Linked DNA regions of Callithrix jacchus. The protein of the gene in region 1 binds, or shares a complex with, the protein of each later gene. Links are inferred from orthologs where the notes say so. Each region holds a gene or a part of one and is shown in the gene's direction. Other genes may lie near its edges.

Region 1 (3,194 bases):
ATCTGGGTGTGGTGGCGGCACCTGTAGTCCCAGCTACTCAGGAGGCTGAGGCAGGAGAATCACTTTAAACGGGAAGGTGGAGGGTGCATTGAGCCGAGATCGTGCCCCTGCACTCCAGCCTGGATGACTGAGCGTGACTCCATCTCAGAAAAAAAACAAAAAAAATTTGCTGTTTAAATAAGAAACACTTGGCCAGGTGCAGTGGCTCACGCCTGTAATCCCAGCTACTGGGGAGACTGAGGCAGGATAATCGCTTGAACCGAGGAGGTGGAGGTTGCTGTAAGTCGAGATCACGCCACTGCGCTCCAGCCTGGTGACAGAGCGAGACTGTTTTCTTAAAAAAAAAAAAAGCTTAAATGCTATATTGGGTGCAGAAGTAGGGAAGACTGTGCTCATATTACAGACCAACAAACTGAGGCACAGACACGAAATGACTTGGGCCAGGGCTGGGCAGCTAGGAAGGGGTCAGGCACTCAGCCTCCAGGATAGGACCCCAGTCTCCTGCCTGCCTTTTGGGCCAGGCTGGGACCTAACCAGCTTCCTCCCTCCCCACTGCCCTTTCATTGCCCAGATAATGAGCCTGTCCCACAGTCCCCAAGAGGACTGGCTGCTGCTGGGCATGGCCAACGGCCAGCAGTGGCTACAGAGCACCAGTGACAGCCGGCGGCAGCTGGTGGGGCAGAGAGACGGCATCATCCTGAGCGTCAAGTTCTCCCCCTTCGGTAAGTAGCCGGCGGAAGGAGGGGGGTCTCCCCCGCAGCCCCCAGCCTCCCACAGGACCCCATCCAATGCCAGCTCCCCACCCAACCCTCTAGGGTACCTCAAAACCTTTCTGGAGGCCGGGCGTGGTGGCTCGCACCTGTGATCCCAGCACTTTGGGAGGCCGAGGCGGGCGGATCACCTGAGGTCAGGAGTTCGAGACCGGCCTGACCAACATGGAGAAACCCCGTCTCTACTGAAAATACAAAAATTAGCCAGGTGTGGAGGCACGTGCCTATAATCCCAGGTACTCAGGAGCTGAGATCACACCATTGCACTCCAGCCTGGGCAACAAGAACAAAACTGTCTTCCCCCGCCGCCCAAAAAAAAAAAACACTATTCCAATACTGCACCAGGCCAGTATCCTGGTATCTCTGCAGCTACTCGGGAGGCTGAGGCAGGGGAATCGCTTGAACCCAGGAGCTGGAGGTTGCAGTGAGCCGAGATCACGCCATTGCACTCCAGCCAGGGCCACAAGACCAAAACTATGCCTCATCCCCCACCCCCCGAACAATCAAACAGCAGCTGTTCCATAGCAGAAGCCAATTTTGGGGCTGTTCCTCCAGGGGGACAAGGGAGGGAAGGGGGTGGGTGTCTGGGCCCTGCCCCTCCCCCACCTGGTGCTCCCACCACCCTTGTTCCTCCCAGGCCAGTGGTGGGCGAGCGTGGGGATGGACGGCTTGCTCAGCATCCACAGCATGCCAGTGGGGACAAACGTGTTCCAGGTACTGTGGGGTGAGCTGGGGGTGGGACCTTGGGGTGGCCCCAAAACCATGTTTCCAGCCTGGGCAACACAGCAAGACCCTGTCTGTACAAAGAAAAAATTAAAAATTAGGCCAGGCTCGGTGGCTCACCCCTATAATCCCAGCAGTTTGGGAGGCTGAGGCAGGCAGATCATGAGGTCAAGAGATCAAGACTATCCTGGCCAACATGGTGAAACCCCATGTCTACTAAAAATACAAAAAAAATTAGCCAGGCGTGGTGGTACACACCTGTGGTCTCAGCTACTTGGGAGGCTGAGGCGGAAGAATCGCTTGAACCCAGGAGGCAGAGGTTGCCGTGAGCCAAGATTGTGCCACTGCACTCCAGCCTGGTGACAGAGCCAGACTCTCAAAAAAAAAAAAAAAAAAATTACCCAGGCATGACAGCTCACACCTATAATCCCAGCACTTTGGGAGGCTGAGGCAGGAAGATCCCTTTCAGTTAGGATTTCAAGACCAGCCTGCCCAACACAGTGAGACCCCATCTCAACAAAAACTCAGAAAAGGCCGGTCAGGGTGGCTCACGCCTGTAATCCCAGCACTTTGGGAGGCCGAGGCAGGCGGAATTGCCTGAGCCCATGAGTTCAAGACCAGCCTGAGCAACACGATGAAACCCCGTCTCTATTAAAATATAAAAAATCAGCCTGGCGTGGGTGGAGGAGACCTGTGGTCCCAGCGACGCGGGAGGCTGAGGCAGGAGAATCGCTTGAACCCGGGAGGCGGAGGTTGCAGTGAGCTGAGATCCCACCATTGCCCTCCAGCCTGGGCAACGGAGCAAGACCCTGTCTTGTCTTCTTGGAAGAGCCCATGCCTCATGCTAGAGCTGACGGGTAAAGACCAGGGGTGCGTGAGCCCTTCCCCAGCTCAGTGCCTACGGTTCCCCCTTAGGTACCCGAGACGTCCCCGATCCTGTGCTGTGACATCTCGTCCAACAACCGCCTCGTTGTCACCGGCTTCAGTGAGCACGCCGCCGTGTACCAGATGACCTACTGAGGGGCCTTGGCTGCCGTCATCGGACTGCACTCCTTTCTGTCCCCCGCCTTTTTCTTCCCCCAACCCGGTGGTCGTGGTGGAGGGAGGTGGGGAAGGGTCTTCTACCGTGTTGAAAACCCCCCTCTGTGGTGAGCTGGCTCATTGCCATCACACGTAATAAAGCATCCAGGAAAAGCAGAGCGGATGCGGCCTGTCCTCTGAAGGGGAAGGGGCCTCCCCATCCCGTCCCTGCTCGTTTTGTGGAAAATTGGAAGGACTTTATCCAGCCTGGTGGCTCTTAGCCTTTTTTTTTTTTTTTTTTCCTTCCAGGATCTGTCGCGAAGGCTGGAGTGACGCCACCGTCCTCTCCATCCTCCTGCCTCACCCTCTGGAGGAGCTGAGACGGCAGATGTGCGCACCACGCCCGGCTGATCTAATCTTTTTAGATGCTGGGCACGGTGGCTGACACCTGTAATCCCAGCACTTTGGGAGGGCGAGGCAGACAGATCATTTGAGGTCGGGTGTTAGAGACTGGCCTGGGAAACACGGTGAAACCCCGTGTGTACTAAAAATACAAAAAATTAGCTGGGCGCGGTGGCTCAAGCCTGTAATCCCAGCACTTTGGGAGGCCGAGGCGGGTGGATCACGAGGTCAAGAGATCGAGACCATCCTGGTCAACATGGTGAAACCCCGTCTCTACTA
Region 2 (4,221 bases), on another chromosome or scaffold:
CCCAAAGTGCTGGGATCACAGGTGTGAGCCACCGTGCTTGGCCAAAGCTTACTTCTTATTGACTTCTAGCATATTCTACATATCTTCTTGGGTAGGGATTTTTGTCTGTTTTGTTCACTACTGTACTTCATGGCTTAGAATAGGGCTTGGAACACAGTAGCTTCTCACAGATAATTGTTGAATAAAGTAAATACAATGTGCAGTCAAAACTATGGGGCCTGTAGGCATAGTCGCTCACGTCTGTAATCCCAGTGCTTTGGGAGGCCAAGGCAGGAGGATCGCTTGAGCCCAGGAGTTTGAGACCAGCCTGGGCAACAAAGCTAGACCCCTGTCTGTACAAAAACCAAAACAAAGCAAAAAAATTATGGTATCTGCAAGCTATGTGGAATATTAAGAAAGGGAAGCATATGAAAGAGAATATATCAGCATGACATCAGTATGTATGTATGTTTTGGGAGGGGAGAGAAGGCTGGACAGCCAAGCCCTAGACACAGCCCAGTTAGGCGTGGAGTAGGCTCCTGGTAGCTGAACTAAATCTTTAGTACTCCACCCTAGAGAGGAAGAAGGGGTCCTCCAGGGTCAGCCAGCAGACAGCTGCATCCTTTCTGGAAACCAACCAGTGTGGCCAGGCGGTATTTGTTTTCACCTAGTCAGACCCAAGAACCTCAAGGTGGGGTGGGGGGGTTAGCGGAAGCTCGTTGGGGGAAGAGGTGACAGTCCCCAGGGTCTGGCTGCTTAATTCAGCCATCCCGCGGGCAGGCACCACACTGTGAGTCTGGATCTGCAAGGGACGCGCCTCCTGTCTTTCCCACACCACGATCTACTAAGCGATCTCGGAAACAGGGTCTAGGACTGAGGCCCCTGACCCCTCCTCTCGTAATTTCCCGTAGAATTTGGGGCGGGGCGGTGAATCAGCACTCGCAGGTACCGATGCAGCCCTGATCCCCGCCAGGGGTCCCCAGCGGCCTCGGGATTCGAACCAATCCCACCACCCCTCCCCGTTCGTCCTCCTGTGCCTGCGCGCTACGTCCGCTGGGAGTTGTAGTATTGACCGCCCCTTTGTCCTTGGTCTTGCCAACGCCTCAGCCCAAGGCAGGTTGAACTACAATTCCCAGAGGCCCATGCGTCGGAAGCCTGGCGTGCTGAGGGCTCAAGGGGAAGGGATAAGGGGGCGTCTGGAGAAGCTGGGGCGAGGGAACTGAGGAGTGAAGCGAATAAAGGAAAGCGTGGGGGCTCAGTGGGAAAGGACAGGGTGCCCGAAAGACGCGCAGTGAGCCGAGTTGGGGAGCGGGGAGCCCCAACTGTGGCCCGGCCCGGGCGGGGCCTGGGCGGGGCTTGCGGGCGGGCGGGGACTGGCTGCGTCACGCAGCGTGGGCGGGGCCGCAGAGGGTTGTCCGTCCGTGGCACGCACAGCAGCCGCAGCCGCCTCGCGCCTGGTCCCGCGGTCGCAGCTCCAGCCGCCTACTCCGCGCAGCTGCCGCCTCAGCCGCTTGCCCTGTGGGTTGGTCCCCTCGGCCACTTGGGCTCCAGCCGCGCCCTCTAAGCCCTTCAGGCCGCCCCAGTGTCCTTCTTTTTCTCCGGCCCGACCCAGCTCCGCGACGATGGTGGACCGCGAGCAACTGGTGCAGAAAGCCCGGCTGGCCGAGCAGGCGGAGCGCTACGACGACATGGCCGCGGCCATGAAGAACGTGAGTGTCTCCTCCCCTCCCCCGCCACTCCCTGCCCCTCCGGAGACGCGGTCCTCGGCGTGGAAGGCCCAGGGCTTCATCGCCTTGTCGCGATGGCGGGGTGACTGCACCGTTTCGCTCACTGAGGGGCCCTGGGGAGGGTCCCGAGAGGCGACGGGAACCCTGGCTGTGACGCGGCCTCTGCTGGCGTTCCCGGGGCCCCGCGGCTCTGCCTCTCAGGCCCTGCGCGGGCGCGGGCCGGGGCGGGGTCCTGCGGGCCTGGACTTGGGAGCGGGTTCTCCGGCCCCCGCGGCTCTGGGGGTGCAGGGGACCCTAGCGGGGAGCCGTGCGCATCCTTTGTGCCCCACTTCCCCCCTCCTCCCAGCCTGGGCGTGGGGGCGGGGGACCGCATGGATGCGGTTCCTCTTTCTCTCCCTGGTGTCTGGGCGGCGCCTTTCCCATTCACTCAGCAGGTCTCCCGGTTTTCCGCCTCCCGAGCCCCCCCAAAATCTTCCCCACCGTCTCTCCCGACAGATCCCTGAGAACCTTCCCAGGAACATCGTGTAGGGGGGTCTCTTGAAAACCTGAGCCCTGTGGTGCAAAATCGAAACCACCTTGCTCTCGTTTTTCTTAACAAAAGGCTCCTCTTTCTCCATTCCCCCAAAGCGAGTCCTCCGGCTTTTAGGAAGGGGGAACGTTTATCTCGCTAGCGTTTTCATTGATCGTTCTCAACATGTCATCTCCATCTTATCCCCTAATGTTTTTGTTTTGAAAAGGGTAGGTGTTGCCTCCAAAATAAAAGGTGGCGAATGTAGCTGACTGGTTCGATCTGTGACATAAGCCGTTTCTTTTTTGCATACAGGCACGCGTCTGTTGAAATTCCTATAAGTTGGGGGGAAATATTCTGTCTGATCTGATACTGCAAACAAAGCGGTGGTGAGAGGCAGTGTCAAGTCGTTCCAGAAGATTCTGCATTTGTCATATTGCAGAGAGCCTAGACTGGGTGGAGGCTGGGAGGAGTTATTTTAAAGGGGAAAAAGTCCTTTAAAAATGTTTTTGTTGTTAGATGCCTCTGAGGCTTTTTTTTTAAGCGAGTCCATCTTCCTGCCGATGAAGAGAATCCTGATCCCCAGTTGTCGCATTTTGTCTGGGTCGCAGATTCCTCCCTGGATTGCACCATTTTGTCAGTAATGTCACATTTATCTAATGGGCTGTCAACCAGTTTGATACTAGAGGAGGGGGAAGTATTGAACTTTAGGAAATGAAAGGTTGAAAATTAATTAATCTAATTAATGATTTCTGAGCCCCACTATCTTAATATTTAACTTCCTGCCTTATGTAACAAAGGTTTTCAAATACATCTCCATTGTGAAGTGGATGCTGAAGTGTATGTACCTTGCATGTTACAGCTTTTAAATGAAGCATTATTGATATTACAGGTCAATTCTTGAATAACTTAACCGGTTCTCAGAAGAGGAGAGTGCTGATACCTTTATATTTAAACCAGCCATATTCACAAAGAAAGGTTGTTATTTTATTAAAGAAGAGAATTGGTTCTGAAATTGGGGGTACTGCTGTGGTCACAGTCTCTGTCTTCTAAAGTTTTAATGCTCGAGTGATGTAAGTTGCACTGCTAATAGGTATCAGTATTGGAAATATCTTCAGTTCGTGTTATTTAGACTCTTCTAATTTTTCCATATTTCTAGTTCCACAGGAAAGCGAGTGACCTCGCACCTATATCCATAGCAACCAAGTGATGTCACACAATGACACAGAGGCTGCAATGCACCTAAGGGCTGATAGGGAGTGTGCAAATGGCATTTGTCCAAGGTAATGCAGAAATTAGCCGATAAGCCAGGTGGAATCCAGCTCTTCATATTCCACCAGATAAGAATTAGTCCAAAAAATAAGGATTTCATTTACCCTTAGACATGCAGATCTGTGACCTCTAGCTAGGCCTTGTTCCCCCTATTGCTGGCTTTTTCACAGAAGTTTATAAGATGCTTTTTTATATTTTTAAACATTCATCTCACTTATTTAGAATACTGGGCAGTGATAGAATAAAAGTAGAAATTTTAAGCAAGAATATATTTTATGATAACTGTGCAGAGATGGGATGTATCCTTGAGTTTTTTTGCAGATAATTTGGCAGATTTTAATAAAAACCTTAAAAAATGACTTCCTACTGAGTCGTTTTCAGTTGCTATTAGGGAATGAGAACCCGTTACAAAGCCTTTTAAGTCAAGGTTTGGGAAGTTTGTTTGTTTCTAGATTTGTGCTTCTCCTTTCCAGTATGCAGGAAAGAACAGTCTGTAAAATAAAAACCTTTTTTCAAATCTGCTTCCTGTGACTTTAAGGAAATAGTCTCTGTACCTCATTTTCCTCATCTGTAAAATGGGACAGTACTTGAAAAAGCTGTGCGGATTCGATAAGAAATGTAGTAGGTGTTCCAAAATGGCAACTACCTGAGACATTTTCTTCCTGTTTATAAAAGTCATCATGGAGAATTTTGGAAAGTGCAGAGAAAGAATCCAGTCTTTCCATTCAAGTGAGC
Region 3 (3,139 bases), on another chromosome or scaffold:
AAAAAATACAAAATTAGCCGAACGTGTGGTGCACGTCTGTAATCCCAGCTACTGGGGGCGGGGTCTTAAGGCATGAGAATCGCTTGAACCCAGGAGGCAGTGGTTGCAGTGAGCCGAGATCGTGGCATTTTACTCTAGCCTGGGCGACAAGAGTGAAACTCCATTTCAAAAAACAAACCAAACAAAGCAAAGAAACAAAAAATGGTGGCTCACGCCTGTAATCCCAGCACTTTGGGGGCTGAAGCAGGTGAATCACGAGGTCAAGAGTTCAAGACCAGCCTAGCCGACATGGTGAAACCCCGTCCCTACTAAAAATACAAAAATTAGCCGGGCGACATGGCTCGTGCCTCCAATCTTAGCTACTAGGGAGGCTGAGGCCGGAGAATCGCTTGAACCTGGGCGGCAGAGGTTGCAGTGAACCAAGACGGTGCCACTGCACTCCAGCCTGGGCGAGAGTGACACTCCGTCTCAAAAAATAAATAAAAATAAAAATAAAAATGGAAATATCAAAAAATTTCAAGGAATCTCCTCTGGTATCTAAACCACGGGAACTGTCTGTGGTTGGGTGGGTTCAAGGCTGCATTAATTAAAAGCGCGCCACAGTCCCACCACTGGGGATGATAAGGAGGGAGGATTTTTTAACTCCCCAGAGTTGAAAACCAGCAAGAAAGCCAGATCCCATAACTTTTTTCCTATCCATTTATTTTTTTTTTTACTATGCAAATCTCACTACACAGACCCTATAACTTAAAAAAAAACAAAAACAAAAAAAAAAAACCCTTATTCTGCCCTGTACTCAGCTGTCTCAGGCAGGTAACAGAATAATCTGAAAACCTGGTGCCAGAGGAAGTAAACATAGTGGCCAGGGATAAGAAGCTCTGGGAGACCTAAGAAGTATTCATTCTGCAAGTATCAGTTCCTTCTTCTGAGAAAAATACTGGGCTTATCCACGCCTTCCTGAGTCCATCTTTAAGACTCCCGCGGCTTTCCACTGGATTCCTGGAGCCCAGAGCCCGGTTTCTCCCACCGGGTGCGCTGAAGAAGGGCTGTTCCTGACAGAAGGAACCCTCTGAGAGCAGCCCAGAAACCAGCGCGCTTGTGCGGCCTCGGAAGAAGCCAGGGCCCTAGGAGACGGAGGCGACGCCTGGAGTCCAATGAGAAGGGAGCGGATGGAGAGGAGGGGCTGGCCAAAAGCCCTTAAAATAAGACCCAGCTGTAAGCGCAACTCTAGTCGCCTACCTCCAGCTCGTCCTTTGGGTTTGCGGTTGTGCTCTGGTCTCCTGCAGGGCGGGCGGCAGCATGGACACTCCCAGACGGTTTCCGACGCTCGTGCAACTGATGCAGCCAAAAGCAATGTCATTCGAGGTGCTCGGTCAGCTCCCCAAGCAGTTCTCCTGGTTCCACTCTGAGTTTCTGAAGAATCCGAAGGTAGTTCGCCTTGAGGTTTGGCTGGTGGAAAAGATCTTCGGTGAGTGGACTAGGGACGGGTAACCCTCATGCGGCTTCTTTCTGCACCCATACCTACACCCCACATGTTCTGGCCGCGTTCCAGGGCAAACCTCCCTAGTAGCCAATGTCCTCTGGCTGTCTCCTCCTTCCAACTTCCTCTCCCAAGGCCCCTGGGAGCTACCCGTCCCTCACATCCTCTCTGCTCTCGGCGCAGGCAGAGGCGGAGAGCGCATCCCGCAAGTCCAGGGTCTGTCCCAAATCCTGATTCACGTGAATCACTTGGACCCCAGCGGCGAGGCTGAGATCTTGATATTTGGGAGGCCTTCTTACCAGGAGGACACAATCAAGATGATCGTGAACTTGGCTGACTATCACCGCCAGCTCCAGGCGAAAGGTACGAGGTTGAGAAAAGGACTACTTTGAGCAAATCCTGTCTCCGTAGGAGTGATCCTGGGTTTTACTGGCTGCTGGGGCGGCAGTCTCGCCCTCCCAGTCGGCCCGCGGTTGGTGGGTGAGGGAGGGGGCGGTTCTGGTCGCCACGGATCGAGAAGGCCAAACTGAACTTGCGTTCTGGGATTCCTGGCTCCTACTCCCGTAGGCCACATGGGTGACTGTCCTTTTTTAGAGAGGATATAGGGATACAGCTGTGGCCTCTGCACACTGCTCTTCTTCCAGGCTCAGGAAAGGCCCTCGCCCAGGATATAGCCACTCAGAAGGCCGAAACCCAGCGGTCTTCAATAGAAGTCCGGGAAGCCGGGACACAGCGCTTGGTGGAGGTCCGGGAAGCCGGGACCCAGCGTTCGGTGGAGGTCCGGGAGGCCTGGACCCAGCGTTCGGTGGAGGTCCGGGAGGTCGGGACACAGGGTTCTCCGGTGGAGGTGCGGGAGGCCGGGACCCAGCAGTCCCTCAAGGCTGCCAGTGAGTCGGGGACCCAGCGATCTCCCGAAGCTGCCAGCAAGGCACGGACCCAGCGGTTTTACGTGGATGCCCGGGACCCAGTTACTAGATTATGAAGGCATTTCAGGCCCTGGAACCAGAGCCAGTCAGGGGTTAAGTGGAAGCCCGATACACTTAAGCCTCAGAAGGTGGGGTTGGGGGTGGGGGAATCATGATGTGAATTGTTTTGTTTTACCCCTTCTGTTGAATGGTTGCAAACACAAACTTGAGTTCTAATAAAGAATTGCATTTCCCTAACGTCTGTTTTTTGGAAGGTAGAGGGGAGGGAATGCCCATTCCTATATCAGCCCAATTCTGCCCTGCGCCGCTTTCCACCTCGAGGCAGGTGGGACCTCGGGTTCTTAGCCGCCCAAGGTCGCAATCTACCCCGGCTGCGCTTCGGTGTGTCCCTTGTGCTCCTTAACCGCGTTCATCTGGTTTACCCAGGTGAGAATCCTATCTAACCCACTAGGAAACCTCTCCAAGCCCGCTCTGGTTCTACTCAAGGTTAACTTGGGATGAGAAAACCGGGTCGCTTGGGGCTCAGCTGGATTTGGAATACCCTGTGTGTATTGCGATTCTGCCACAGACCACTTTCCCAGTTAGGGAAAATGACATCGGGGAAGGGGGAAACGGAGAGGGCCGAGCTGTGCCACTGTTGCCGTTGTCAGGTCTTGCTTGGGTCACCGACTTTGCACGAAGGTCGTGGACACCAAGATGCAGGCATCGGCTACTCTGGCCGCGAAGAGTCCCA

The links. The genes of interacting proteins can lie anywhere in the genome.
Region 2: the proteins of TLE6 (region 1) and YWHAG are in contact, whole or in part, in a cryo-EM structure (PDB 8XI3), measured with the Mus musculus proteins. The link is inferred for Callithrix jacchus from reciprocal best matches to the Homo sapiens genes TLE6 and YWHAG. Residues at the interface, in NP_444484.1 of Mus musculus: Phe137, Leu138, Ser139, Glu140, Ser141, Asp142, Leu144, Gln145, Leu295, Arg347, Asn430, Leu447, Gln470, Met472, Asn489, Asp510, Asn511, Thr512, Met530, Pro553, Arg555; in NP_061359.2 of Mus musculus: Lys50, Arg57, Arg61, Lys125, Asp129, Arg132, Tyr133, Gly174, Leu177, Asn178, Val181, Glu185, Phe201, Asp202, Ile205, Ala206, Leu208, Asp209, Glu213, Tyr216, Lys217, Thr220, Leu221, Ile222, Met223, Gln224, Leu225, Arg227, Asp228, Asn229.
Region 3: TLE6 (region 1) and KHDC3L share a complex: the UniProt entries of both Homo sapiens proteins name them as parts of the subcortical maternal complex. The link is inferred for Callithrix jacchus from reciprocal best matches to the Homo sapiens genes TLE6 and KHDC3L.

The regions. Positions count from the first base shown.
Region 1 is NC_133523.1:2,770,314-2,773,507, forward strand, and holds the end of TLE6 (transducin-like enhancer protein 6), read left to right. Parts: intron 1-571; coding exon 572-722; intron 723-1,407; coding exon 1,408-1,484; intron 1,485-2,408; coding exon 2,409-2,513; 3' UTR 2,514-2,690; downstream 2,691-3,194. UniProt on the Homo sapiens protein: Component of the subcortical maternal complex (SCMC), a multiprotein complex that plays a key role in early embryonic development.
Region 2 is NC_133503.1:11,117,751-11,121,971, reverse strand, and holds the start of YWHAG (14-3-3 protein gamma), read left to right. Parts: upstream 1-1,420; 5' UTR 1,421-1,601; coding exon 1,602-1,688; intron 1,689-4,221. UniProt on the Homo sapiens protein: Adapter protein implicated in the regulation of a large spectrum of both general and specialized signaling pathways. Binds to a large number of partners, usually by recognition of a phosphoserine or phosphothreonine motif.
Region 3 is NC_133505.1:78,451,571-78,454,709, forward strand, and holds KHDC3L (KH domain-containing protein 3), read left to right. Parts: upstream 1-1,229; 5' UTR 1,230-1,299; coding exon 1,300-1,468; exon of another isoform or gene 1,469-1,663; coding exon 1,664-1,843; exon of another isoform or gene 1,844-1,881; intron 1,882-2,124; coding exon 2,125-2,462; 3' UTR 2,463-2,638; downstream 2,639-3,139. UniProt on the Homo sapiens protein: Component of the subcortical maternal complex (SCMC), a multiprotein complex that plays a key role in early embryonic development.